Daphnia pulex: one gene and its partner. The protein of the gene in region 1 purifies or fractionates together with the protein of each later gene. This does not show direct contact. Links are inferred from orthologs where the notes say so. Each region holds a gene or a part of one and is shown in the gene's direction. Other genes may lie near its edges.

Region 1 (15,220 bases):
TAAAAAGCAGCGAAGAGCACAAGAAATAAATGAAATCCAAGAAACCAATAATTTCCATTTTGGTAATAGTTGACTGTCGAAAAAATATTGCACAGGTAGCTAACGACGAAAATGAGCATGGACCACAGGACACGAAGAAAGTGAAACCAAATAAATTTAGTTTCCTTTAAAATTTTCTCTTTCTCGTGAATTGGGAACGAAATAAACGGCGGCGAAACCGTGTTGTTATTATTCACGTTCTCACCCATGATTCAGATATTTTTTCGTGAAACAATAACGCAGGGAAATCTTATACACAAAGACAAAAGATTTCCGAGCACAACTGTCAACTGTCAGATGCTGTGGATGACTGCTTAGCTAAACCTAACTAGTTTGCATCATTGTGAAGAAACAGCGGAACAAGATTGGACATGATTTGCCGGAGAGGAACATAGTTCCGCTTGCCGCAAAAATGGCCGACGCTATACCTTAATGGGGTTGCATGGACGGCGCTCAAAATGTTCGCGTGAAAAAATTATTTTCAATGTTATTCAGTTTCAGCAGGACGCGTTTTATTTAAGAGATATAAAAGAATTTGGAAATAGTTCAATAATTTCCCAATAAAATTTAAAAAAAACCGCGAAAATTCATTGGGGTTATTTTACTATAAATGCGAATCCTTGCAATTTCTAATTCAAACAATTTTTTTGGCGGCGATTATTGCCAAAGATTGAGTAGGGGTAGGCCTACTCATAGGGGAAGAGTCGACCCCATTGACCGAAAGATATTGAAAAATTTCGCCATCTTCGTCAGTAAAAATAGTGGACTGAGGGCGTTCATCAGTTGATTTTTCATCAGTTGATTTCCTATCCAATCAATAATGAAAAATGAGGATTAAAAATAAATAAATAAATATGTCGCATCAAAACATACTTGCAAAGACTATGTCGGTAATAGATTGCCAGCAAAAGCCAACTAAAACCATGCAAACCTAACCCACTGGCAATAGCCACACTATAAAACCAGGGTAGTGGGTCGGAAGGTTCTTGATCAAATTTGCCATGCATCAGTACGATAATCACGTAAAAAAGGGTTTCGAAAGATATAACCTGTGTTAATAGTAAAAAATATAATTGTAATTTGTTCATGCCTATAAACAAATTTCGAATATTTACGACTTACAAGTAAATACGGAATTTGCGGAGGGCGGGGAGGGCCTGGCACTTTTTTCCGCTCATTGACGAACGCGAAAACGTGGATTAAGGCTGTGATTGCGTAAAAGACGACTTTTCCAAAAGTTAATTCTTCTTTTCTTTTTGCCTTGAATTTGCAGCACAAATGAATAAAGATGGGCAATGGCACAATGATTATTGTGAATCGTAAAACAGGGAAACAATAAGCGGCAAAGAAACCCAGCACGATGACACGACTGCCTTGTGTAAAGACAAAAATATTAAAAAATTCAACAGGAAAAATAAACGTAATTATTGAAAACTTACTTATCCAACAAAAACAAGCTAACCCCAACAAGAAAGTATCATAAAAAGTGTTACGCCATTGGTCGTTTTCTTCTGTTTTTGATTTCTCGTATAATGTCAATGTCAATGCCAGACTGACAAGAGATATAAAAAAAGAGCAAACGACTAGAACAACTGAAAAAGTCACAAAATGCCAAAATGGATCCATTTTTTAGCTACTAGAAAAATTTGCTATAAGGAAATTCCGATAGCCTACCGTGTGTGTTAAATAGATCACATTCATGAATTGCTATAATGTAAAATTTCAACACCAATTGAGGAGCAGATTCGAAGAAACATTCTACGAGACGTAGATAAGTCATCTGTTGAAGGCATTGATCCATTTTCGGAAAGTCTTTCATCTTTTGGGCTTTTATACTTTCAATTCCATAACAAAGGCTGTCAACGTACCTAGATTAATTTCAACCTTTACCGCTACTGTCGATACGAGTCAAATTGTACTACGAAAATACCTGGCTAGAGGCCATATTAAGATGATTCGACAGACAACTCTAAAAACAGATTTCCATTTGGACTTTGACACGGGCGCAAATTCTTCTTCGTCTTTGGCGTACCAATCGTTACTCAAGAAAGACATGAACATGCCAGGCACTACTAAAAAGATTAGTGTGATGCAACAGTAGTATTTGTAACCTGCATAGTGATAGCGAAACACCAAACACGCGTCGTTCAAAATATCCCACAAATAAAAAGCCATTAAAAGCACGATCGTCGCAACTTCCCACGCTATTGACTTTCTTTCACATTCGACCTGTGGTTGTGCAACTGGTATATCTTTGGGAGTATGCATGTTTCAAACTGAAACACTCTTCACGAAATAAATATTTTGTGGGAACCAAAACACTGATGAGCACTCAAATTGGACAGAGAAACAAAACTGTAAAATTTTTAGATGAGTTAAAATTTAAAAACAAAATTTGCTTGACGATTCCAAACGTTGAGCGAAATCCACAGAGAGGGTCCAGCCGGAGTGCTGGATTGTGACCGACTGACTGACCAGATCAAACTGTCACAGGCCTACGTCTAACCATTTTACGACTCTACCTAAAACTGGAGGCACACAAGTTCTTTTTCTTGTAGTCTGATATGTAACAGTAAAATGTTACTACATATAGTAATTCTGACATGGGGAAAAGGACCTACAGCAGTGTTTTTTCGGAGACAGAAGGGTATGACCGACATTAGAAAAATTTTAAACAAACTTAGGTAAAGGGTTTTGGGTTTTATTATCATTGAATTGCTACCCTAGCTTGTCAGATGAATTATTTCTTGGCACGTGGAACTGTCACATGTACAACAAAGACCAAAATAACAAGAGAAAAATTCGTCCTAAAGACGAAGGCCAAAAGGTAAAACAAATTCGGAGGATAAAACAAAACCCTTTGGTTTCCAAGAAAAAGGGACAAACTCAGGAGTTTATTGCTCTAGTGACCTAATTGTCAAAACGTTTCGAGCATTCGAAAACATCACGTTTGAGTGATCTTGAGATCAATTAGATTTTGGCTACAAGCTGAATAACACAGTCGACCACGTGGTTCTACATTGAGTTGGAGAATTTTAGGGAATTCACGGAGCCTATAGTGGCTTTGGCTTATCTAAAGTGAACAGCAGATGATTACGACTTACCGATGAAGAAAGGGGATTCGGGTTCAGAGTTGGCGACGAAATGGCATCCTTTCTTTTCTGGCAGCCAACACACACCTTGATAGTCTCCTTCCATCATGCACAGCACTAGGGTGATATATTCAGTTATTAAATCATTTGAATCTAGTTTTTTAAAATTTATTTAGATTTAGAATCAATTTAGATGATTAACACTTCACACTGAGAAATGTCATGCCATACTTGAAGACAAACAAGTGAAACAACTCCACTCTCGACCACGAGTCAACTAAACTGTTCTGCGGTGAAGAATAGACAACGAAATGAAAAAGCGGGAGAACTGGAGAAGGGATCAAAAAAGATTTTGATCGAACCCTCCCTTATTGCCATCGATGCCAAAGAAAATAACCCACCCCTTTCCTCCTGCTTCCTGCCCATCCGCACAACATATTCATACACACAATTCTGCCATGGATGTAACAATTACACACAAAAAATTAACTTGTTAAGTTAAAAAAAATTATATTCATTTATTCTACATCGAAAAATGGCAATGTTGTGGGAATCGTTTTCGTTATGTATGGAATCTAGCTTTTGCAACAAATGGTCCCCATTCCGTAAAATCAAAAATTTCTATTATAAAAAAAATTCAAATGGAATAACACTAAAAGGGAACGACAGTTAGTGTCCGATCTAATCCGTGTAGAACCATGGAAGACAGACACCCGTCTTCAAGCAGCAACGATAGTCCCAAAAGCCCATAAGAATCGAATTCTCAATTAAACATCCCTGGTCCGAGACAATGAACAAAAGTTAATTAAAATACATGTTAACATAAATTTGTTTTTGGTTTTTTTTTTTAAATTTACGTTCACGTCGTTCAAAGAAATGATAATACTCACAATGTAATAAACAGAAGCTTTGTTACGAGGGTATCTTGATTTCACAATCGAACGATTTATATCCATGAAGGATGAAGATATGCTTATCAAAGGTATTTTTAATACAAACACGGTAGCTGTGCAAAATACGGTGTATTCTTACCATAGGAAATTGTGCTTAGCAGCAGTAAGTGCGAGGGTATCACGAAAGAGCAAACCACAAAAAAGTGCAAATGCGCAAGTCAAGTTATTCCCTGATTGAAGCTGACGAGTATGTACAAAACGTTAGTCAAGTTATCGGAAATAAGATCAATCCAGATCTTTTCGAAGTGGAGGACAGAAATAGAGATTCTACATTTCAGGATGGACATCTTCGCGTTGAATGATGTCGAGTCTGCCGAGTCGAGCCGGACTAGTACGAGGGGAAGGAACACCATTGATGATAGGAGGGTGAGTATCGCTTAAGCACAAGGTTGCTCCATCCTTGTTGCATATGCCGACATTGGGCAGCAACAGGTTCGGATGAAGACACTTGTAGTAAAATGCAAGTAGAGCGATACTCAGTACAAAGGATCCTATCTGGCCGAACAGGGCCGGGAAGTGAAACCAAGGACGAGGTGGGGCTATATCAGCTACCTTAATCCACCACAGCACCATAAGAATGGTGTTCTCGAAGAAACAAACCTAAAACAAAAATAAAATAAGGCAAAACAAATGTAATGTTATTTATGGTTAAATTTTTAAATACAACTTACAGCGTAATAGAAAGCATATCGGAAACGTGTTCGATCGGGTTTGACGTTGAAGAATGTGAAGACATGGATGATGGCTAAAATAAGGCAAAAGAAGAATTCTTCTGTGCGGGTGGAGCACGCGGCTGTTGCCTGCAACCAAAGCCATATAGCCATTAGGATCCAGTGGCCAAGACAGACAGGCCAAATAAACCAACCGTATTCGGAAGCAAAGACAGTCAGTGCAATGACTCGAGCAACTATAATAACAAATTCAACGTTATTCAATTTAAGGGAAATTGAGCTAGCTTCCTATGCCTCACCTATCCCAAAAAGATGAGCTAAGAAGAGAACGCAAGTTCCCAGCAAATGAATGTTTTCCTTGTCTACTTGGGCAAAGCGCAGTGATCTGTTGTAAGTCGTCAATGCCCACGCCAAGCTGACGACAGAAGTGACAACAGAGGCAGCTTGGAAAGTCACTGTAAATACCATATTATTAGTTCAGAATTTGTGATGATATAGAATCGAAATGACAATAATTACCAGCTATTGGATCAGTTCCAAAACTGAAAGTGTTTTTTGCCATAATGTACAACTGTAACACTAGCTGTGGAGCAGATTCCATGAAACATTCAAACAGTCTTAGGAATGTGGCATCAGCATCTTCATAGGCCATTCTAGCATAACACTGGCCCATTTTGTTGTATTCCTTCCTCTTTTTGGCTCGTCTACTTTGAAGTCCATAGCGAAGGGTGTCAACATATCTAAAAAAAGAAATTGTGATGTATTTCATGGCTTAAATGCATGTTACTACACAAAATACCTTGCAACTGGAGAAAGAAAAAATATTAGGCAGAATATGCGAAACACCCAGGTACATGTAGACACTGGAGGAAAGTTTTGGTTGTTCTGATCTTTAATGTACCACTTTGTACTCAAACCAGACATGGTGAGAGCAGGTATGGCCACGAAAGCCAATGTAAACCCAAAATACCAATGGTGCCCCAAATTGAAATATGTGGCAGCCATAAATCCGTCAGTGATAAGATCAGCCATGTAACTGAATATGGAAACAACGATGCAGACTACATCGAGCCAGTTGAAATTTGCTTTTCCTCGCAAGCCATCCACTTCGTCGAACTCAAAGTGACTCGTTTCGACCAGCGACTTCTCTTGACACTTGTCTTTTTCGTTTTCAGCCGACACACGTTCATGACACGCCCTTGGTAACAGTTTACTCGGCGATGAAACTGTATTGGCGGTAGATTCCATATTTGGGCTCGTGAAACTAATTTAGGTTTGATTTATAAACACGAGCCGTTGGCTTAGCACACAGCCACACACACACACCTGCTATAATAATTTGAAAACGTAGCGCCGTCTGACGACTACCCGACTTTGACAGATATGAAAAGAGGCGGAAGAGGGCAATAGATGAGCAGACAGTAGAATGATAGTGAATGTCATAATAATCCGCTAGGGGCGCTGAAAACAAACAAAATTTGAACTTTTTCTTCTTGGAATATTTTCATCGTTCGGTAATGAACCGGTACTTCTCCTTATTGAACGAATGATCTCAATCAGATTTATACTTTTAGTATTAATGTTGAATACACGTCCGTCCGTCAACTGTTCTGTGACAAAAAAAAATGATGTAATCATGTCATTCCGTCCTCTGTGTATTTCCGTCTTTTGTGTATTCTGTGCATTAACGTGATGTTAATGGTTTAACAAAATCGAAGGATCGTAGAGTAGACACTGGGGAGCCTACTAGACCGAAAGTCGAACCGCGATTTATTATTATTAGGACTACATATCATTTGCGTTCGTCTCTAGGAGACAATTCACGTTATCGCATTATTTTGGTGTAGTCGACAGTGAAAAGTGGTCCAGTGCGCAGTCAATACTCAATAAAGTAAAAGCGTGGTACCCAGGTTGGATACCACTCTAAAATACCTTCCCTTTTGTTATTTTCCAAAATAAGAAGCCACGATTTTTTTACCCCAATTACATTTAAGTTTGTTATACGATGTTGCGTCCACCGCCATCTTCTCTACAACGACATATCATTTTGCTCATCATAAAAAAGGAGGACCTTCAATTCCGTTTTCATTTTCGAAATTTTGAAAATATCCGCTAGGAGCGCTTTATCTGATAGGAGACATTTGATTAATCGTGCAACATTGGCAGACGAAAATAACGGGCTGGTTCTTGGCCGGTGCCACGTTCCGTACCTCAAAATTGCTGATGAAATTTCCTTTTGTTGTTAAGACTGTAGCCTCCCTAGTCTTTAGTAGAAAGTTCCTTGGCACTCAATCTTGCACGACCAAGATTAAACCTTTCCTTTTTTCGAGAAAGCTTCACGTTCTTTCTTCTTTAAGATATCAAAAACAGGCACCCGCTTGGGGTTCGAAAAGGCATAAGGATAAGCAGAAATTAAAGATTCAGTTTATTAACATAATGGCTGATCCTAAGATTGAAGAAGTTTTGGCACCTTTCCGTGCTTCTGTCAAAGAGCAGGTATTTGGTTTGTATGATGATGATTATTGTTCGTTATAGTACTACCTGCTAGTGACAAGTCAACTTGAACAAAGTGTGACCTGATTTGTTTCCTCTTTTTAGGGAGATATTGTCCGTCAACTAAAAGAATCAGGTGCTCCTGAGCTTGATTTGAAGAAAGCTGTTGCCGAACTGAAGGCTCGGAAGAAGATTCTTGAAGATAAGGAGTTGGAGTTGGCTCCTGTGGAGGCTTCTTTTGACCGAGCTAAAATGGAAGACTTGCTAAAGAGAAGATTCTTCTTTGACCAGTCCTTTGCCATCTATGGAGGTATCACTGGCCAATTTGATTTTGGTCCAATGGGCTGTGCCATGAAAGCCAATATGCTCAGTACCTGGAGGAATTTTTTCATCTTGGAAGAACAAATGTTGGAAGTTGATTGTTCAATCCTTACTCCTGAACCTGTGTTAAAGTGAGTAACCTGTTTTTTATGGCAAAAAATCTCTTTTGTTACATACTCAATTTCTCATGTCTGATCTTAGGGCTTCTGGCCATGTTGATCGTTTTGCTGATTTAATGGTAAAGGATGAGAAAAATGGTGAATGTTTCCGCCTGGACCATTTGATCAAAGCCCATCTAGAAAAGGTCAAATCTGATAAGAAAACAACTTCTGAAGTCAAATTGGAATGTGAAGACATTGTCGTTAAGCTCGATGGAATGAACAAGGAAGAAATGCGTGTCATTCTCCGAAAATTTGAGATGAAAGCACCCTTAACCAACAACGAACTCAGCGATCCTATGGAATTCAACTTGATGTTCAGCACTTACATTGGCCCCACTGGCCTAGTTAAAGGCTTTTTGCGGCCTGAAACAGCACAAGGAATCTTTGTTAACTTCAAGCGATTGTTGGAATTCAATCAAGTAATAATTTATTTTGAAACTTTTAGCCCATTGTTCTGTTAACAAACAAACACATTTCTTAAGGAAAAACTGCCCTTCGCAGCAGCTCAAATTGGCAATAGCTTCCGCAATGAAATTTCTCCTCGTTCGGGGTTGATCCGCGTTCGTGAGTTTACGATGGCAGAAATTGAACATTTCTGCGATCCAACGGACAAGTCTCATCCTAAATTTAGTGAAGTTCGAGATGTTCAAGTAAGTTACCGAATTGATTATACTAGCTTGTGAAATAATCCAACTTTATTGCACAGGTACTCTTGTATTCCGCCTGCAACCAAATGGATGGCAAAGCAGCTGAAATTGTCACCATCGGCAAGGCAGTGGATGACAAAATCATTGCCAATGAAACTTTGGCATATTTCATGGCTCGTATCCAACAATACATGGTCAAAGTCGGAGTAGATCCCAGGAAACTTCGATTCCGTCAGCATATGAACAACGAAATGGCTCACTACGCCTGCGATTGTTGGGATGCTGAATGTCTCACTTCCTATGTAAGCTCTTTGTCTATGATTTAACTTGAACAATATTGACGTTACATTTTGAATTATATCAAGGGATGGGTTGAATGTGTCGGCTGTGCCGATCGATCTGCCTACGACTTGTCCCAGCACACCAAATCCACCGGGGTCCGTCTTGTTGCTGAAAGGAAGTTGCGCGAGCCCAAGACTATCGACGTCGTTGAGGCTGTAGCCAACAAAGGCATTGTTGGCAAATCGTTCAAGAAGGAAGCCAAAGAAATTATGGAAGCGCTCTCGAAGCTGGAACCTTCAACTGTCGCTGAAGTGGAAGAATCTTTGAAAAACAACGGAAAATATGTTCTTGAGATCGGTGCCAATTCCTACGTCCTGACACCCGACATGTTGGAAGTCAAGCGTTACCAAAAAACTATTTACGTAGAAGAATATGTGCCGAATGTCATTGAACCATCGTTCGGTATCGGTCGGATTATGTACTCGATCTTTGAGCATAACTTCAGAGTGAGAAGTGACGGTGGCCAACGCACGGTTAGTACAAAACCACCGGATGGATGTCGTCATTTCAGAATATTTCTAATATTTATTCTTTTTTGCGCGGGTGATTTCCTTAGTATTTCTCTCTACCTCCGGTTATCGCTCCATTGAAGTGCTCGGTGCTTCCATTAAGTAACAATGCGGATTTTGTTCCATACATCCGCCAACTGTGTAAGTTGTTTTCTTGGCAACTGGGAACTTCAGTGTTTCATATGCTTTCTCTTTTTCTTTCCTTTTAGCGCGTGATCTCACTGCCCTTGACGTGTCGAACCGCGTTGACGATTCAAGCGGATCTATCGGTCGCCGATACGCTCGAACTGATGAAATCGCCATCCCATTTGGAATTACCATCGATTTCGATTCTCTGAAAGAGCCCCACACTGCCACTCTGCGTGAACGTGACTCGATGGGTCAAGTTCGTATTCCGGTAAGCTCTGACGTCATTCCAGACGAAAGAAAGTCTCTTGTTTAACTAAAAAAATTACCATTTCGTCCACAGTTGAAAGAGATTGCTGGCGTTGTAAGGGATCTTTCCTACGACAAGATGACATGGACGGACGTTGAAGCCAAGTACCCGAAATTCGAACAACAAGAAACCAAGACATAAATAGGCCCAGAAACTGTGAATTCTTCTGCAATTGGGTGAGGCGAACGCCTCGAGCAAAACAACTTTTTTGCGCACGACGTATAATAGCATTGGTGTCGGGTACTACTACACACCCCAGTGGCTTTCTGAAAGTAAATCTTGTCTGGTTACTCCAATGTCAAATTTTTCGTTTTTCTTATTTTTACTTTTTTTTTTATATTTCTCACACCGGTTATGAAACAGAACTCGCTGCTCTTTTATTTCACGCAACATCTTCCCTATTTTCTGTTGTATCGCCCACGGCCGGATGCGGCCCCTGTAGAATTCTCTCCATATAGTCTATTCAGATGCAAATATCCGTGTCGGATATTTAACCAGAAAAGGGGGAGAATCGCCAGGTTTCCCTGCAAGGAAGTGCCGAACGCTGCTGCCACCTAGAGTGTTATAAAGTGAGTATCGATATTTTAGAAAGTCTCTCTCTCTCTCCCGCTGACACATCGTTCGTTACGATCTACTGCCGATTATATGAAGACTTAGTAAGCGGACGGAAACCTGCGGCCGGAATGCAGTGAGGGAGGGGTTCTTCGAACGGGGAGAGATTGCTTGTTTTTATCACAGAAAAAAGCCATGCTTTAAAAAATGTCGAGTTTGCATCATTTTGGGCTAGCGGTAATACTTCCGGCTCGTTAATTTTTTTACGTCATGACATGACTTTTGATGGCTTGCCATCAGCTAACCGTTTTTCACTTGGCCTCTAGTTTAATCCAATCCTTTTAAATTGTCGTGCTGCGTCATCGATCGTTTTGGTTGAAAAATTGTTTGTTTTTTTATTAACCGACTAGAGAAATAAGGGAATCCATCTTCCGGAGCGGAAGGGTCTATTGTCGGGGCAAAGAGCATGCGATGTGCCGTACGCCTCGTTTCGTGACATCAATTTAATCTGCTAGGACCTGTAATAAGATTAAAATCTTTTGAATTTTGTGTTATCCCCCGTGTGTGACGTCAGCCGTAGTAAATAACGGAAACAAAACAAACGAAACACAGACGCCCTAGCGGAGGAAGTAGAGTCGGCGAGAAAAGGTGTGGCCGCCGCCGCCGCTGCTGCTGCCGCAAATGCGCGATAGGGGAGAACCAAACACGGGCACGAAGATAAAAAGAGAAACACTTGAGTTGCCAAAATGCCTGTGTTTGTATATCTTAAGGCGAAAAACCGGAGAAAGAGAGAGAAAGAAAAAAGGGATGAAACGTAAACTGCAAATCGCGTTGTCCATTTTCCACAGTCCGGAAGACATATGTAAATAGATGAGGATTGCTGGTACATATAGTCTTAGGAATTATGAAAAAGACGATGACAAGTATGGTGACGATATTACAAAATAAAAAAAGGCGAGACCATGAGCATATTAGCCAGCGCTAGACGACTGTGGGGTGCTTCCCAGTTTTTCTATTCGGTTGAAGTGCAAGTGGAATTTAAGGTTTTCATCCGCCTAGAGCTATATGAGCCTCGACACACACACACAGACACACTCGTTTTTGGGTTTAAGCCATCACCTTCGCACGAGACGAAATTGTTTCGGCAACTGGAACTCGTTTACCTTTTTACAGCGACAATTTTCAATTTGGTTGCCTAAACCTGTTTCCTTCCAGGTTCTCCCTTTCAGCCTCACCTGAAATCATCCTGTTCGGCAACATCGCCGCTCACCAAAATTCCCACACGTATAGATAGTATACTACACAGTACACGACAGGTATATACAACAAAAAACAATGAAAAAAAGTTGTTTTTGGGGGTAGGGCCCATTGAATATTTAATTTCGTAAAAAGCTCTGCCATTTTGGTTCACTTTCATACAGTATCTTAGTAGGACAACAAACCAAGTGGGAGTATGGTGACTAATGCAACCGGAATTGTGTGTGTGTATGTTTGAGTGTGTGTGTGTGACAGCTTTCGTTGGGTTCCGAGTTTTTGAATAACCGACCGAAATATATTCAAGTTTGACGTTTCTTGCCCCGCAGTGGGAACGAACAAAAAATACTCCTCCCGGACCCCGGGTTTGGTTCAGCGTGTCGTGTGCCACAGTCAGTCGGCTGCTGGCTTCTGCACGAACTGGTCGTGTTGTTGTTCGTGGCTGTTTCCCACCACCACCACCACAACACACAAACATATTTTCCACTAGTGTTTCTTATCTTCTCATTTCCTTTTGGAAGAAAGAAACAACAACACCTGATACACATACCTGTGTGGACAAGCGAAAGCTCTTTTCGTGCACACACGTACATTCATCATTGTGAACGACGACGTGAAAGTCTCTAGTTATTGTTCTCTCCCTTCATTCTCGTGGCCGGTGTTTGGCGAACCGCGATCTACTACATGACTGAGTGAAGATACACACAGAGAGACTCGACGAAGAAAAAGAAAGGGACGAGAGAAAGCCGCCTGTTAAAGGTTGTGTGTGTTTTTTTTTTTATTGTGTGCGTGAGTCTGCGTGGGGGGAGGCTGTTTGTGCTCACACCATGATGAATCACGAAGAGATCGGTCGAGGAGACTTTGTTCTGCTCGACGAAATTTCTCCCGACAGTTTCATCCACAATCTGCGAATCAGGTGATATTTTCAGACTTTATTTTTACAATGGCAGATGCTCACACACAAATAGCTTATAGTGATTCTTTTGACGTGAGACTCTTTCGCTGGAGGAGTCTCTCAGCGGGGGCGAACGACAATTGCAGCTAGCCGGGAGGGCAATGTTTTGATGTCGTAAATTAGTCGCGGGTTGTTTTTGGGTAAAAGTCATATAGGAAAAGTAAATTTTAGTACTAACTTTTTATTATTAATTTTTTTTTCGGCAGACATCGGCAGATAGTGTTTTAAAAAATGACAAATCCTAGGGATTTTCGGAACCTTAGAAAAGAAAGCGAAAATCCTTACCCAGAAAAACCAGACGTGACCCCTCGTAAGATTATAACCGACCGCCAGTCCTTGGAATTAAAATTGGTCTTTTTCTGCGAAACTTTTGACTTTTAAAATGTTTACGTGTCTGTCCACAACATTTAGAATACTTACAAATGATGTCAGCGCGTGTTTTAATTCTTATCTTTCTTTTTCGTGCGTTGGTTAGGTGCAAATTTGTTCTTTTTGATTATTTGAAGAGGAAAAAGATTGGACAGACTGGTTTTTCCCCTCTTATCAGATAAATTATAAGTTGTTTTAGTTCATGTTTCGATGTTTCGTTTCACCCCCCTCGTTTGCGTGATTGCCTATTTCCAGCTCCGATGTGGTAATTATAGCGTGAGCAGATGGCGTCGTGGTCATTTGCATGGGATATTCGAACGAAAAATAAACCGGGAGGGAATCAGTTAGACAAATAACAACGAAAGAAATGATCGGTTGTATATCAAACGTTGTCTACTCAATAGTCTGTCTTTCTTCTTTCGAAATGTTTGCCTTTGCTTTTGCAATGAAAAACGACCACTTGAAACAGCCATCTGTCACGCCGTTCTGGGCCGTGAATCAAGACCGTTATCTAATCTCCTTCTACCTAGCTGCCATATTTTATGCCTTTCGTTTTTATTTCAATCTTTACAAAGTTGCCCAATCTTCCAAAGTCCATTAAACACACAAGTGTCCTAATCATGTGTTAAAATAATGATTTCAGATTCAATGGAGGGAAATTTTACACTTACATTGGCGAAGTGTGTGTTTCAGTCAACCCGTATAGAACGTTGAATATTTACGGACCGGATTATGTCAGCCAATACAAAGGTTGTATTCCGACCCAGAAACAATGTTGCACAAGAAATGTTTGCCAATTCACGTTCTGTGTTTCTATTAAACAGGAAGAGAAATTTTCGAGCGGCCGCCGCACATATTCGCCATCGGTGATGCAGCCTACAAGACGATGAAGAGAAATGGCAAAGATACGTGCATCGTCATCAGCGGCGAATCGGGCAGCGGGAAAACCGAGGCTTCCAAAATCATCATGCGTTACCTGGCAGCCGTGACAAACCTTAGCGGCCAGCAAGAAATCGAACGGTACGAACCTTTGACGTTATTATGTACATTCGGGCTGTCTGAATGCATACCATACAAAAGTCGACAGTGCACACTGCACAGTCCCAATCGATCCACTATATAGGAAAAAGGCGGTGCCCTATATAGTCCACAACGTATTCACGCCCTGTAAAAATCTCCGTGATTATTAAGCTACTAATCCAATGAAGTCCTTCAATGTCCCTGGACTGCGGCTCTAATCTTCTAGCTGAGCTCGGGATTCGGGTTACTGTAGCTCTATAGCTCGGGCGTATTGTATTTTTATTAAAAAAACCTTTTCAAGTGAACTTATGCACATAAATTTGTCAGAGTCTTTTATATAGTTTGCATTTTTTTTTTCATAAACAAGCGCGCAGCTGTTGCCAGCGCGAACGCAGGCACGTGTGACGTCAGTAGTTAGGGTGCTAACACAAATTTCCATCTCAAAATAGACGCCGAACTGACGGATTATTTAGCTTTTTCCCAGGTTAGCCTTGCAGCAGTACAGTAATATGTCTTAGGGGGGTTTAAAGTAGCAACTATTTCTTAACGGTATATATCAGTGCTCATGGGGGTTGTAGGTATGCGGGAGCCCAGATCTATTTACGAGCGATTTAGTAATCGATTTTTTTATGTTTTGGCTACCACATAAAAACGTTTGGCGAAAATTCGACAGAGCTCGTGGATACCTGAGACTAGAATTTTTCACTAGCCAGTGGTTGTGAGAACATGAACGTGACAGTGGTTACATTATTGGCTTCGTTGGTTACCCTCCCCCAAAACAACTGGAGACCCCCCCACCCGTTGTTCTTTGAACCTTTAGGTGTTTGAAAAGGCCGATGACTTTGAGCGGAATTGAAAACGAGCTCTCCAACTTTTTCCCGTCTGGCGTCTATTCACGCCGAGATTTTCTCGTCGAGTCATTACCAATGATGATGATGATCAGATGATGATGACAAACATTTTTCTGATTCGTTTGCAGAGTGAAAAACATTCTTCTTCAGTCGAACGCAATTCTGGAAACGTTCGGCAATGCCAAAACGAATCGCAACGACAATTCTTCCAGGTTCGGCAAGTACATGGACATTCACTTTGATTTCAAAGGCGATCCCATTGGCGGACATATCAACAACTATCTGCTGGAGAAATCGCGTGTCATTGTCCAGCAAGCGGGCGAGCGCAACTTCCATTCATTCTATCAGGTATCATCATTATCATTTGTTTTGCATAATCATTGCCTCGGTTATGGGGTGCCATTAGCGTGTGGTAGTCCTTCATTAGTCGAATTCCTTTCCCTCCTCCCTTTTCTTGTCTTCCGGTCGCTTTCTTTCAATGGTCTCACGTCATTTTTCTCTCTCTTTCCGATTTCCGTATGCGAACAGTTGTTGTTTGGAGCTCCGGATGGTGAG
Region 2 (15,220 bases), on another chromosome or scaffold:
TTCGGTAAAGACATCGCTCTTGAAGGTGCAACATTCCCACTGGAATGTTGCAGGATTTTCCGACTGACTCTCTTCGTTTTCGAGCGCCTTTAAAATTTCGGGTGCCAGCCAGTCTAATCCTCCTTTGATTTCGTTGATGGGGCAAGTTCCTTTTGCGTCGATTTCTTTACTTAACCCAAAATTAGTCCATTTCATAACAGTAGACGAATTTCCCGTCCAGAGAAGAACATTTTTGGGCTTCAGATCGCAGTGGATGAGTTTCTTTTCGTGAATATATTCCAATCCCATAGCCAATTGGTAAAGAGCTTCTTCTGTTTGAGGCTTTGGCCCGCGGTATTTTTTGGGATTCTCATCATTCAAAAAGATCTGATCCAGCGATGCTTGGCACAGTTCCAGTGCATAATATCTATTATTTCAATTAATAGTAACTTGATTCCAACTTTACTTTTTTTCTAGTTTTACCTGAATTTCGAGTCGTTTTCTGCGTGAAATAGTTTGACAACGTTGTCGTGACTAAGGTTAAGCCACGATTCTTCTTGTTTCTTACCTAATACGTGAACTAATTGCATCCGCTTGACTGCCACTGGAATACGAGTCGTCCCCCAGACACCTTCAAATATGATACCATTACCTCCCATTTCCAAAATTTTTTCTTGGTAAATTTCTAACATGCTGCCGGGTAGCACATTCCTTTTTGCCTAATCAATCATACGGTTTCAAGGTTAATTTTATTTGAATATATTTTCTGTCTTATTTATTTTTACCGGAGCTCTGTACTCTGTAAGATATTCAACAACCTCCGAAGAAGTGATCCTTTTATCTGGTGCGCTGGACAACATTTTCAAGATAAGATTGTGAACGTGCGTTGGTTGAATTTCTATCAAAGAAAGGAAAAGCAATTTTGAAATTATGACTGGACAGTTTTTGATTTTAATTCTAGTAACTTACTGCTGATATTCACGGGATTGTTCTTCAATATGTTATTAGCTATGTCCAATTGGTTATGACTATTCACAGGAATTTTCCCGAAAATATGTTCACCGTCTAAATAGAAATAACCGAAGACGAGGCCTTCGGCAAAAACGTCGCTCTGGATAGTTCCCCGTCGACGTGAAGATGATGTAATTCCTTCTAAACCATCCGTTAATTCTTCTTCCTTAAGTAATTTCAGTAGTTCTGGTGCTAACCAATTATCGGTCCCTCGTACTCCACTTATAGAAAAAGATCCGTTTTCGTTGACTTTTTTGCTTAGTCCAAAATCAGCCCATTTCATTAGGACTTCTTCTTCTTTTTTGGGATTCACCCAGATGAGGACGTTCTCAGGCTTGATGTCACGATGGACCATTCCCATTTTGTGAATGTATTTTAATCCCGTGGCTAATTGGTATAGAACTTCTTCTCTCGGTGGCATTCGCCTGCAGCATTTTTTGGGGTCACCTTCTTTGAGGAATAACTTGTCCAACGAAGCTTCACACAATTCAAGAGCATAATACCTATAGTAGAATTAAATCTTATCTAATATATATTCTAATATCGAAGAGGGACATTACCTGAAATCAGAGTCGCTCTTGACGTGGTATAATTTGACAACGTTGAGATGTTTCAAGTTTCTCAGAGCCTCTTCTTCCTTTTCGCTGACTTCAATATCCACGAGCTGAAGTCGTTTAACGGCTACTGGGATGTGATTTGGACCCATGGAACCTTTAAAGACGATTCCAAATGCTCCTCTTCCTAATTGGTTTTTGCTGCATTCAAATTCCATCTCGAATCAACAGGCTGACAAAAGACTGCACAAGTAACGCTCGGACTGCAAAGTTATTCCCATGGAGATAAAAAACCAAATTGAAAGCAAACATCATAGAGAGAAAATAATAGTTTGTTAACTAAGAACGTGATGTAAACTATAATGATTTGGTCGTTAATTATTGAAGAAAGCTTTTTTTTTACCTTATTTTTGGGGGAATCAGAAGAAATCAAAGAAATCGCCGAAGCTTCGTACGTGTAAGTGGTTGGTTGGTCGTCGGAGAGCTCATATAAAAGCATTACTGTATCTTGCCTAGTTTCGTTATCGTTATTTCTTATCAGGTTCTCGTTTTGGTAGCACTTTTCGATCGTTGAACAGTTTGACTTTTAATTAACATAACAATTTGACCACTTTTTAAAATTATTAAATATAAGCTGCGCTAGTGTAACGCAGAGGGTGGTAGGGAGATAGTTTAAGGGTGGGTTCTGGTCGGGTGAATAAATGGGGTGTCGTCGTCTGCTGGCTCTCCCATTGAGTTGGTCATCTCCTTATCTCTGCGTTTATACCATTTTACCTATTTTGAAATATAGCCTGTTGTAAACTGTAAAGTCCTACTCGTGAGCTTTAAAAGGACGGTTAAAGTCGTTAAACAGTATAAGCCCAAAAAGTAATTCTATGCATGTAAAAATAAAATACTCTGTGCTTTTTCCGACAAACGGCTTTTTTAAAGGCCGAAAAAATGTTCAATTCAATTTGTATGCATATAAAAAAAAATTTTAATAGGCCTTTTTTATGTTAGATAACCAATTTGAATTTATCAGACTTTAGCTTATTGACCATTATCTGCCAACAATTCATTAAGAAACGAATTTTCGTGCAGATATCGGCCATACACTCCATATAGTAAGTCCCACAGTTTTTGTGAGATCCCCTTCGTTCCAAAATAGTTAATCCGCTCTTACAGTTTTAATTTTGAAACGTCCAATGAGAGAATTTTGCCCAAGTTCCTATATTCATTGAGCATTGTACGGTACGAGTCGACTTCCGTTTAGAATTCTTACAGAAAACGCACGCAGACTAGGGGCCAGTTAGGATTTTTTTGTTAAATTGTTATCTGTTATACTGATCAACAGTTGTCATAAAAACATAACGGAAATGAATTAGACAAACAAGTAGAGTGTTTTGATTTTATAAATTTTATTTTATCCACAGTCATGACTTATGACGCATCGAAAAAAGAAAGAACGAAATGCAAATTTTCCAAAACTGAAATTCAGCCAATCCTCTTCAAATCCAATCCAAAATACTTCCCCGCCAAAGTAAGACTTAATGGCGACGAACAGGTGTTATTTTTCGCCGTGAGTCCATAAGTGACTTGAGGTCCTGAACTTCCTCTAAATAAGTCGGCTTCGGTTTATTAGTCACGTTCGGTTTGGATCCCGTCAAATCCACGATCCGGCCGCGGTCGGACGAGTTCACGACCAAGTTCTTCTTCGAACGGTTTCCGCGATTGCGTTGACGGGTCTTGTGTCCTTTTCCGTTGCTGCCGGTTGGCAAGGTCTTGAATCGGTTGGTGTTCCGGACGGACAGGTGCTGATTCGGTTCGGGATTAGTAGCGATGCGACGGTGGCGATTGTTCGATTTGTCTCGTGGCAAGTTACGCCCAATCTCCTCGACGTCTTCATCAACTTCCATTTCGTTACCTCTCAGGAGGGGACTGACACCTTCGTCCATTTTCGGGCGTTTGTTGGATCTTTTGAGACGAATCTTCTCTCCAACATTCTGCAGCCCAACAACATTTAACTCGTAGGGTTTGGGCAAACGAAGTCGTTTGGGTCTGCGGTGAAGAATTATTTCATCCTTGTACTCTAAAGTACGCTTCTGCTTCTCAGATAAAGATAGACATTCAAATAGAAAACAGAGATCTGCCATTTTCGAATTTTGGTAGTTTTGGTAAACTGAATACCGTAATGATGAAGTCCAAAATGAGTCTCCTTTTATAGACTTCTGCAATGCAACCGTTGTTTGCGGCACACAATTTTCTCTCATTTTCCAAGTTTTATTAATTTGATTTCGATTTGAATAATTTGTAATTGTAATTAAATTGAAGTTTATATTTTTTCCAATCTATTTCAACAACTTTCACGTAAATAAATTTATTTTTAAGTATTTATTTTATTAGGAAAATCAAAATAATGAATTTGTATACGAAACAATGGAGTGGCCGGTGGCGTCACTAATACTCTGCGGGTGAATTTAAAAACTAAGTCAAATTATATTTGATTTTCTTGTTATCATATTCTAATGAACTATAAGGTTAGTGATTCTAAGATAAATCATTCTTATTAGGCTGAAGTGGTGTCCTACAATATGGCGTATTTGATTAGTTTGTATCCTTGAAATTGATAAGAAAACAGAAGCAGGTGTAATTAGTCAGTATGGTATAATTTTACCTCTGCGGTCATCTCTCATTGTTCATAATAAGGTTGCTATAAATAGAAACATAATTTAATGAAAGATACCAAGCAATTCAAAATTGCTCTTAGTCGGCAGTTGTTACAGGTGAAAAGATCGTTGACACCTTCTGGGTGTGTTATCGTAGTAACGTTTTCAGCCATTCTTATCGGAGTTTTCATCGGCGGCTGCATCAGTAATGAGTACCACAGACTCCCACAATACTGTAAGTAATGCGTTTGACGCACAATGTAGATAATATTAATGTCATCTTGTAGAAATATCTGTGCGCAAATAATGCAACTGAAATGTCAAATGGATAACCTAATTCATCTATCCCCGCCAGATCGAAGTTTGTCGAAATATTCAGGTACATATAAAATGTTTCATATGACGCCAACAATCTTACGAAACTTGTGTTATCTATCAGCTGCTCATGACGAAAAACAAACTAACGCAGACTATAATAATCAGCTTCAGTCTAGATTGATTCGTTTTGTATGGCCGTTGATTGTGTAGCGACGTAGTTTCGTTATTTGTGCTTGAATTTCAAATTTGTGCTGAAAATGCAAAGTTGTCTCTCGTTTTTAGTGGGCTTATTTTTATTACTTCTCATTGACAAGCCATCAACTTTAATCGCTAGTTGTCAACATCAAATGTGCGATCTCACGGTCGGACCCACGAAATTGGTTGAACTTGTCAATCTTGATAGTGACTTCGAGAACGGTCAAATTGACCCATGGATTGAGCAGTCGGAGTCTGGTGTCAAGTGGAGAGTCGAGAACAAAATTTTGCCTTGGGAGCCAGGAAATGTGGCTCCTACACCGACCAACGGATCGACTTATCTCCGAGTTGATCGTGGATCGACTTTGTCGTTCGGTGTGGCTGTTCTGCGCAGTCAGACCTTCACCCTTGGGTCTGACACCGAAGTTTCCTTTTCATTCTCCTTTTGGATTCGTTCTAAATGGCCACAATTCACAAACTTGGAGGTGATTAAATTATTATTTTATATTATCAGAAGGACGGACTTTGTTTAAATGTTAATTATCTAATTGATGTGCAGTTGTATCTGGCCAGAAACGGAAATGAAGGTTTGCTTTCAAATTTGTTCGAGCATTCCCATATCAACAATCGAGTTTGGCAGTCTCAGACCGTTTCAATAACGGACGATTCATCCTCTAATTTGACGGTATTAAATTTGTATTCGTTTTCTTGTTTGAGATGTGTCTTTTTTAATCTGGAACTTTGTGCCTTACGAAAGTAGTTGGTGTTTTACGCTTATTGCGGGACGAATGCTGAAGATGCTGTCGCCATCGACGACCTCCGTTTCATTTCTTCTCAAGAGTCTTCGTCAACCACATCGACTACACTGACCAAAACTTCTTCATTGACGACTGCTACTCCAGTGACTTCATCTACCACATCGACTGGAACAACTCTGTCCACCACGTCCACCACGTCCACCACGTCCACCACGTCCACCACGTCCACCACGTCCACCACGTCTACCACGTCTACCACGTCTACCACGCCAACAACCTCGACATCTTCAAATGATTTTGAATTGACGGAGAACTCAACGGGTCCTATTACTTCTACAATAAGCACGGAAATCCCTGAAACATCAACGTCGGGTACGGAAACCGTTGAAACATCACCACCAGCCATTACAACCACATCTGCTACTCCTTTACCAACCACCAGTGATCAAACTACAACCGTTACAACTGAAGAAACGACAACAGAGGAGCAATCGACAGGGATTACGTCAGCAGGATCGACTGAATTTACCGACATAACAGACGCTATAACAACGACCACCGAACTCGCAACAACTATTCCAGAAGGAGGTACGGCATGTGAAAACGTATTTCAATTATTTGAGCTACATCCCTTTGCAATCCTGCTGTTATATCCCTACTACAATCACTTTACATTGGAATTGATGATTTTTCTTTTGAATTTTATTTGCAGAAGATTGTCCATCGTATTTGAAAGGAAATACTAAACTGCCTTGCTGGACCTTGGGTGGGAAATGTTATTGCTTTTTCACCGACGCCGTAAGAAACCAATCACGATTTCAGATTTTTTTTGTTATGAGGTTCAAATTTCAACAAATTTTCAGGTCGGCAAGAATTGGATATCCGCGGATACCTTTTGTAAAGATGAAGGTATGGGTTTGCTCAGTCTTGAAACTGTAGAGGAGGACAAGTTAATTTACGACCATATCAAAATTACACCAGGTAAATTGTCAAGTGAAAATCGTGCAATGAATAAATTATATTTTTTTTCCTGCGTGAATCTAGAGTTGAACAGCGTCAGCTATTGGACTTCAGGGATGTATTCCCTGGATGGAGAAAAAATATGGGAATGGGCATCTACAGAACCCTTTCAGCCGTTCACTTACGTGAATTGGAGTCCAGGCCAACCTGATAACAACGGACCGGGTTATTGCCTTCACCTTGATTTAATCAAAACTTTTAGTGCTGGTTATTGGGCTGATATATTTTGCACTAATTCTTTCAGATTCATTTGCGAATCAATTGATTAACTTGGTAAAATCCAGATGTAATAAATAGATCTGCAATTATTTATTTATATATATTTTTCGTGTAAAATTTTTTTTATATCAGTGTGTTATCAATTCGAAATTTATACGAAAATAAAAATACACCAGCAATCAGCATACCGCTTGAGTTTTGACTTCTTAAGTTAATTGTATCTCATAACCACTAGTTTAGATCCATCATGGATCCATCTGTGAGACACAATTAAAGAGCTTATGCATTTTTCAATGTAAGATAATAAGATATCGTGATTTGTTGAGTTTTGTTTCGTGATTTCCCCTCCCAGCCTCCTTCATCAGTTCCTCTTTTCCTGTTCACGTTGCCCTTGAAATACGTATGTTGAAAGTGTGGCAACGTTGCGTTTGGTAGCAGACGAATTTTTCTTGAAATTCTGATGTAAAATTCAGCAATTCAGCGATCAAGAGCCGGAAATCTCGTGGAAGATAGATAAGCTACTGTTTCTTGGATTGATTCATTTATTTTTAGGTAATTATAAAGTTATCATTGCATGCATTTAGTTTATTTCATAGAAGTATTTGGTTTGATGAGAAAATCAAATTTATCGCTCCTTATGTCAGCAATGTGAACTCAATACCAGTTTTTCTTGTTATTGTGTCAAAAACAGTTTATGTGGCACTTTGTAAGTTTACAGAATCGTTTATTTTGCTTGGTTAAAACTCTTTACAAGTAGGAAATTGATACCATGTTAACAGTCCATCATATGTTTTTTACGAAATGTAAAGACATTTTTCTGCACACTTTTTTTTACAGTTAGAAATGGTGGAACCAGTTCCCGAATCAATTGATTTTGCTCAGGAAGAAGGAAAAATCTTGGAATACTGGAAGAAAATTGATGCATTTAAAACCAGTTTGAAATTGTCCAAAGGGAAACCTAGGTAATGCAAATCAATCCATTTAATTTGCATCTTAAAAATTACAAATTTAACATTTTGATTTTATTTTTACTTATCATAGGTACACATTCTATGATGGACCTCCATTCGCTACTGGCCTTCCTCATTATGGGCACATCTTAGCTGGAACTATCAAGGATATTGTCACCCGATATGCTCATCAAAATGGTTTTCATGTTGAGAGGCGTTTTGGATGGGACACACATGGCCTTCCAGTTGAATATGAAATTGACAAAACTCTTGGGATCAAAGGCCCAGAAGATGTCATGAAAATGGGAATTGCCAATTACAACGCCGAGTGCAGAAAGATTGTCATGCGTTACGCAGAGGACTGGGAGACCATTGTCAACAGAATGGGACGTTGGATTGGTAAGTAAAAATTTCCTTCTATCAACTTCTTTTGTTTCAATTACTATTTTTTAAATCATCTTTTCAATGTTTTGTGTTTCAGATTTCGAGAATGACTACAAAACCCTTTACCCGTGGTTCATGGAATCAATCTGGTGGGTTTTCAAGCAACTCTTCGAGAAGGGGCTAGTCTACCGTGGATTCAAAGTGATGCCTTTCTCGACGGCTTGTAGTACTCCATTGTCCAACTTCGAGTCGGGACAGAACTACAAAGAAGTGGTTGATCCGGCAGGTAAATCATATATTTCTATTTACATTCAAGCCATTCTTAATTACTTGTCTTTTAAATACAGTAATTGTTAGCTTCCCGCTTGACGATGAGCCGTCAGTGTCTATTCTCGCATGGACCACTACTCCATGGACACTGCCGAGTAATCTTGCACTTTGCGTCAACGCCACGCTGGACTATGTTCGAGTTAAAGGTTTGTTTAAGACAACTGTAACTATTAAATAAAGTAAAACCTAAAACAATTTTATTCTCCATATTTCTTGATAGAAAAAGCAACAGAAAAGGTTTACATCATGATGGAAGCTCGTCTCAGTGCACTTTTCAAATCTGGAGAAGAATACGAAATTGTGGAACGATTCAAAGGAGAAGTTCTCAAGGGAAAAACATATCTGCCACTGTTCCCTTACTTTGCCAGCGTAATTATGAAATTAAAAGATAATTAAATTCTGTCGTAATTTAAATCATGATTTTTTTTTACAGTTGAAGACTTCCGGCTCTGGAGCATTTAAAGTTTTAACGGATTCCTACGTCACCGACGAATCCGGCACTGGTATCGTTCACCAAGCCCCATACTTTGGTGAGGACGATTACCGAGTTTGCCTGGCAGCTGGCATTATCTCAAGAGATCAGGAGATGATTTGTCCTGTGGATGATGGAGGAAGATTCATTGATCCAGTTACTGATTTCGCCGGCCAGCACGTCAAAGATGCAGACAAGAACATTATCAAAATGTTGAAAGACTGTGGCCGATTGGTGAATTCCGGCACCGTAAAGCACAGCTATCCTTTCTGCTGGCGCTCTGAAACACCCCTTATCTACCGTGCTGTTCCTTCTTGGTTCATCCGTGTGGAGCAAATGTCCAAACAGCTGTTGGAAAACAACCAGAAAACTTATTGGTAACAAACGTTATACATTTCGTGTTACTGCGTGTTGACCCATATGAATTGTATTTAGGGTGCCCGACTTTGTCAAAGAAAAACGGTTCGGCAACTGGCTGCGTGACGCCAGAGATTGGGCCGTCAGTCGCAACCGTTACTGGGGCACTCCAATTCCCATTTGGATGTCGGAAGATGGCGAAGAGGTGGTGTGTGTCGGATCCATCGCCGAGTTGAAAGAACTCACGGGCATTGAATTGACTGATTTGCATCGCGAGAACGTTGATGGCATCACTATTCCCTCCAAAATTCCCGGTCGGCCACCCTTGAAACGTGTCTCAGAGGTTTTCGACTGTTGGTTCGAATCTGGATCCATGCCTTACGCTCAAGTCCACTACCCGTTTGAAAACAGGAAAGAATTTGAGGACTGTTTCCCTGCCGATTTCATTGCCGAAGGCATTGATCAAACACGCGGATGGTATGTTTGTTAATAGTAAATTGAGGTAGGCATTTAACGAATAATATCTTGGCTGTTTTAGGTTCTATACGCTGTTGGTTTTGTCGACTGCCCTCTTCAATAAACCACCGTTCAAAAATTTGATTGTCAACGGCTTGGTGTTGGCCAGTGACGGCCAGAAAATGTCAAAGAAGAAGAAGAACTACCCCGATCCAATGCTGGCAAGTTTATTTTTTCTTTTTCTATCTAAACAAAATGGTTTAACTTACTTTTTTCGACTTTTATAGGTTGTCAATAAATTTGGAGCTGATGCTCTTCGTCTCTACTTGATCAACTCCCCAGTTGTTCGTGCGGAGAATCTGCGCTTCAAAGAGGAAGGTGTTCGAGATATTATCAAAGACGTTTTCCTACCCTGGTACAACGCTTACCGATTCTTTGTCCAAAATCTTGAACGTCTCGAGCGCGTAAGTGTTTTCTTTAGATATTGTTAGACATTTTGATATTGATGCATTTTTCTTGGCTACAGGAAGATGGAATTAAATTCGTTTATGAAGAAGAGGCCTCTAATTTGTCAACGAATGTGATGGATCGCTGGATCATTTCCTACACTCAGTCCTTGCTGCTATTCGTCCACCAAGAAATGGCTGCCTATCGGCTGTACACTGTTGTTCCTCGTCTTGTCCGGTTTGTAGACTACCTGACCAACTGGTACGTGCGGATGAACCGTAAGCGACTAAAGGTAAAAATCTTTTCGTTTATTTTCACAACACCTTAGATTAATTGTCATTTGGTCGTTTAGGGAGATGGTGGCAAGGACGATTGTCATCACGCCTTGCAGACACTTTTCAGTGTCTTGTTTTCCATGATCCGTGTTATGGCCCCATTCACGCCCTTCCTGACCGAATTGATGTACCGCAACTTGCGTCATTTAGTGGCCAACCAGAAAGCCGGAACGACGGAATCCGTTCATTTCCTTTCTACGCCTGAACCAAAGTATTAAAAATTCTACAAGCAGTAATCAACATTTACTAATGCTTCATTTTTATTAGGAAACATTTGATTGATGTCAAAATTGAAAATGCCGTGAGTCGGATGCAAGTGGTGATTGAACTCGGACGTGTTCTTCGTGATCGCCGCACTCTGCCCATCAAGGTTCGATCGTTTTTTTCATATTCTGTCGCTGCCGGTTATTGATTATCATTTTCAAATAATTTGCAGTACCCTTTGCCGGAAGTGATTGTTATCCTCCGTGAGCAAGAGTCCTTGGATGAATTGAGGACTATGGAACGATACATTCTGGAAGAGTTGAATGTCCGTGCTCTCAAACTGACCACCGACAAGGACAGTTTTGGAGTCAGTCTACGTGCAGAACCGGATCACCGCATTGGAGCGCGACTCAAAGGCCAATTCAAGGCTGTCATGGCTGCAATCAAGGTTATTTACTGCGTAATGTGATTACATGCATGAACTAAAATTTATTCATTGAACTGAATTAGACCCTGACGGATGAGCAGCTACAAGGATTCTTAACCGAAGGTCAGATCGATGTTTTGGGTAACATGATGGGTCCAGAGGATTTGCGGATCTTTTACCAGTTCACTGGTGACCGAGCTGCTGAATTGGCCCAGCAATACGAGACACAAGCGGAAAAAGACGTAAGTTGTCTGTTTAAGAACCATTTTCCTGGCTTTTTTTATTGAATTTTTCTATGTGAGACAGGTGTTGGTGTTGTTGAATGTAGTCCAAGACCAAAGCATGAAGGACGAAGGTTTGGCCCGAGAAGCCATTAACTTGGTCCAAAAACTGCGCAAGGAAGCTCACGTAACTCCTTCTGATGCCGTCAGCGTCTACTTTGAGGTATTACTGTTTTATTAATAAACTCCTTCAAGCTTTCCATTAACGTGTGGTTATTTTAACAGGTTGTTCCTCCTACCGGATACGTAGCCGATGTTGTCAAGAGTTTTTCAAATTACATTGAGACTGCCATTAAAGTTCCATGGAGAGCAGCACCATCCAAGAAGTCGGGTGCAAAAGTCCTCATCAACAAATCACAAAAGGTAACAATGAATTTTTTCACGACTGTTCATAAACTTCATAGAGTTAAATTATTTTATTTTTTAACTACAGTTGCAAGGTGTAGATTTAGTGCTGACCATTCAAGAAGGATTCACTGCCGACTGGGCAGCGAAAGCCGGAGTCCCTCCAGGCAAGAAGTCTCTGGTTGCCACCCAGGCTCCTACAGGCCGAGGGAAACCATCTACGCCGTAATTGATAATTCATTTTTGAAAACATAATTGAAATCTAAATGTTTCTTTTTTTGTATTGCAGCTTTGTTAATCTTTGCTTAGAAGGCCTGAAATCAGGTTATGGCATTGAAGGATCCTACGGAACCATATTACTAAGCAATCCTGTCGGAGCATCCCTCGTCTCTTTCGAAGGACTTGTGAAAGAGGTAATTTTGAAATATCCATACTGCATTTCATGTATGAATAACCATTAATCAATTATTAGGCTGCTACGGTTTTCGGTCTGCATGGTCGACCGTACACGGTCAAGAGTTCCGGTGTGACTCTCGATGCGGCTACGGATATTTCCAAACTTGCTGGCACGACGCTAACGGTTGTTCCAGCTACAGCTGAAGATGCAGCTGCCCAAACACCATCCATCGATGGATCGGCTTGCAGGTAATGTCTCTTCATCTCAAATCTTTCAGTGAAAACCATTTTCTTAATCCGCCTCGTATTTTTTCTTTGTTGCAGATTTGTCAATGTCAAATTAGACGGCAAAATGGGAACGGTACTGTTGGAGAATCCTGTGGGATGTCCACTGTTCAGCTCTGCAGAGGAAATGCAGCGGAAAATCGGAGCCATTTACTCGACATCAAAGAAGTTGTCCTCCGATGAAAAGAAAATGCAGCCAGCGAAATTTGAAAACCTGGACGGGTTACACGGGAAGACCGTCTATTTACTTTGATTCACCTGAAACAATTGTTTTTGGCTTTAACAATAGCGTGACATTATATTGTCACAGTTGTTGTGTACTTGGGCAAATCTGAGGCAATCAGTAAACAATAAAGTGTTTGATGGTCTCTCAATTTGCATGCAATAGTTGCCGAAGTTATTTTTAACTAATTGAATTGATTGTAGGGTTTGCGCCCTTCATTTTTTTTTTTAGTTTGCTTTTCGTTTCGAGACGGGGTTTGCTTGAAATCGCTAACGAGCGATCTGACACGCCCCCGCCTCAGTTCTACTTGATACCCTACACAGAGTGTACCTTAAAACAAATATTACCCTCGAGCCAGTGTGTAGGCCGTCACGGAACTCTCGAAGATTAAATATAATCTATGAAAGTCTTTCAGAATGGAATTCACTTGCTTGACGAAATAAGGTTTGTGTTCAATATTTCTTTTTCGTCTTATAAAAAATTTTCTTTACCCAAATATCTAATCCCAAAAGCTAAAATAGTTGTGTTTAATCGATAATCCGATGTTGTAAAAGTTATGAGTGATTATACATTGAGGAGAATTGAGACTTCACTCTTTCGAAAAATATCTTTCGTAAAATCTGTTCACGATTCTGCCGTGAGGTAAATTCGAGTATTAGTAGTAAAAGTGGAATAATAGTTCTTGACGTTGAGATTCCAGACGTTGATAAATTCAAACGTCATGGGTAAAAAAATAGCTAACAAAATATTGAAAACATGCAGCAATTTTATGTTATGCAATTCAGAATCAACTGAGAATTAACTTCTCATTGATGCATTACCTTTAATTCTCGATAGTTACTACATTTTTATATATTTATAGGTACTTCCTTCGTTCTGTCAATATAAAAAATTAGAAGTGTGTACTATGATTATGAACCACACTAATAATTGAAATAAACTAAGCAGAAGGGACAACTTTTTCTAATTTTGCAAATTTGTCTACTTATTTAAAAAGAAAGTTATTTTCTCTGTAAAGTTTCTAGGTGAATTTGAAATACAGAAAAAAACGCACAGTAAATTAAATTTCAATATCCAGTTCGAATCCAAAATGCCTTCATAAAATCAGCGAACCTCGACTCTTAACCTAGAGCATAACAATATAAATTATAAGTTTATTTAATAAGGAAACATTCAATAATACTTCTCTTACTCATCTCCAGAGAAAGAGCTTTTTCAATAACAGTATTGCATGGATCGCTGGTCAGAGAAACGTTGTAACATTTCGAAGTAGATTTCCTCACTTCAAACTTAAGAAAAAAAAAGACTTTTCCAAAAATACAGCCCACAGTTGGAGAAGCGTAATTGAAGCTGCAGTCTGCATTTTACAAGGAATTACAATGGGTGATTTATAAAAAAGCGTTAGTTCTGGAACAGGCGCAAACAACCGATCTCGAGATACACGCTCACTTTTGCTGAAATCAATTAATTAAACAGCGACATTGTGCCGCATTGTACCTCATGTAAGGTGGGGATTCCTTACAGAGAAGAAAACGATGTTGAGTACTAAAGAGCTACTTGTATTGACGTGTGGGTCAAGAGGGAGTAGGTACAACAGAGAGAGAGTGCCGGGCAAGAGAGCTTACAGCAGAGAGCGAGAGAGAGGGAAAAGCGACGGTTTATACATGACGGGATCGCCGGGTCAGCATCTCTGCAGGTTGGTGTGGGCCGTCATAGTGCCCGGTCAAGGCTGTAGCGGCGGCTGGTCTGGGGTGGCGTGAGAGCCGGTCCGGCTGGGACAAGGTGTGGACTCGGGGGTTGCTGAGTCCGCATGCTGTCCGGTTGTGACGTCCTCAGCGGCGGCCATCATAGAGTGGGCAGGGCTGCCGCGGGGCATTACACTCATCTCGTTCTTTATGTAAACACGATAAAGGTAGCCTACTTATCATAACGGAGAATGCCATAATGTCCGACATGATTTTTCAAGTCCGCATACAATAAAGGTGGCTGGGAATTGGAGCTATAGCTCATCGTCATCTCTGAAAAGAGATCTTACAGGAATTGAACCCGAAATTTTTCAAATTGGCCAAAAAAGCATCCAGATTCTTTAACCCTTTATCGACGTGAGCCAATAAAAGTTTTTAACTTCTAGACGCCACGTAAACAAGGATTAAGATAGAATTCCCTATAGGACTTTGTCCCGAAAGGCAATAGAAATCTCCAGAGGATCTCGCAACGGAAGTCCCTACGGCTGAAAAAGGGTTAAGTTCAACAACAAAGAGAGTCTCCTCGTTGTGCACAAGTGATTCAGCAATCTGTCATGAACACAAAATGAATCTTTTAAAACACAAATATCTATCATTAGGCCTGCATTGCACACTTACACGAGAAACGCATGAAGGAAAATCAGGCAATTCTGTAAGGCGCCGCTTACAGTAAATGAATAGCCAGATTGAAGCGACAGATGTATTCGACGTGTGTCCAGTCAGGGGAGTACAGCGAGAGATAGTTACATGTAGAAGGGTAAATTTTATATATTGGGGTTGATTCAGGGTATAAATGATTCCGCCGGATCGTGTTATCGGTAAAGCTGGACCGGCGGGGGGGGGGGGGGGGGGTTGAGCTGGACCGGTGGGCTGGTTGAGCTGGA

Evidence for each region.
Region 2: the proteins of glycine--tRNA ligase-like (region 1) and isoleucine--tRNA ligase, cytoplasmic-like fractionate together in Homo sapiens (co-fractionation; 3 studies listed by BioGRID). This does not show direct contact. The link is inferred for Daphnia pulex from reciprocal best matches to the Homo sapiens genes GARS1 and IARS1.

The regions. Positions count from the first base shown.
Region 1 is NC_060028.1:9,584,369-9,599,588, reverse strand, and holds glycine--tRNA ligase-like, read left to right. Parts: upstream 1-6,867; 5' UTR 6,868-6,978; coding exon 6,979-7,251; intron 7,252-7,353; coding exon 7,354-7,700; intron 7,701-7,770; coding exon 7,771-8,149; intron 8,150-8,212; coding exon 8,213-8,380; intron 8,381-8,436; coding exon 8,437-8,679; intron 8,680-8,742; coding exon 8,743-9,192; intron 9,193-9,275; coding exon 9,276-9,369; intron 9,370-9,437; coding exon 9,438-9,625; intron 9,626-9,697; coding exon 9,698-9,805; 3' UTR 9,806-9,960; downstream 9,961-15,220. Other genes in the region: uncharacterized protein LOC124210048, read right to left, coding at 674-845, 913-1,088, 1,162-1,631, 1,714-1,907, 1,970-2,214; XK-related protein 4-like, read right to left, coding at 4,352-4,684, 4,756-4,991, 5,055-5,210, 5,275-5,495, 5,555-6,003; unconventional myosin-Id-like, read left to right, coding at 12,298-12,386, 13,438-13,544, 13,619-13,814, 14,794-15,013, 15,194-15,220. UniProt on the Homo sapiens protein: Catalyzes the ATP-dependent ligation of glycine to the 3'-end of its cognate tRNA, via the formation of an aminoacyl-adenylate intermediate (Gly-AMP).
Region 2 is NC_060019.1:985,995-1,001,214, forward strand, and holds isoleucine--tRNA ligase, cytoplasmic-like, read left to right. Parts: upstream 1-7,106; 5' UTR 7,107-7,251; intron 7,252-7,536; 5' UTR 7,537-7,542; coding exon 7,543-7,661; intron 7,662-7,740; coding exon 7,741-8,048; intron 8,049-8,130; coding exon 8,131-8,319; intron 8,320-8,380; coding exon 8,381-8,509; intron 8,510-8,583; coding exon 8,584-8,732; intron 8,733-8,796; coding exon 8,797-9,212; intron 9,213-9,270; coding exon 9,271-9,669; intron 9,670-9,730; coding exon 9,731-9,869; intron 9,870-9,935; coding exon 9,936-10,112; intron 10,113-10,174; coding exon 10,175-10,387; intron 10,388-10,447; coding exon 10,448-10,641; intron 10,642-10,697; coding exon 10,698-10,800; intron 10,801-10,866; coding exon 10,867-11,082; intron 11,083-11,144; coding exon 11,145-11,303; intron 11,304-11,367; coding exon 11,368-11,505; intron 11,506-11,567; coding exon 11,568-11,705; intron 11,706-11,775; coding exon 11,776-11,912; intron 11,913-11,976; coding exon 11,977-12,100; intron 12,101-12,159; and 5 more. Other genes in the region: dual specificity protein kinase zak2-like, read right to left, coding at 1-406, 463-698, 765-877, 949-1,493, 1,551-1,762; mucin-21-like, read left to right, coding at 4,765-5,187, 5,262-5,387, 5,463-6,048, 6,173-6,258, 6,324-6,441, 6,505-6,749. UniProt on the Homo sapiens protein: Catalyzes the specific attachment of an amino acid to its cognate tRNA in a 2 step reaction: the amino acid (AA) is first activated by ATP to form AA-AMP and then transferred to the acceptor end of the tRNA.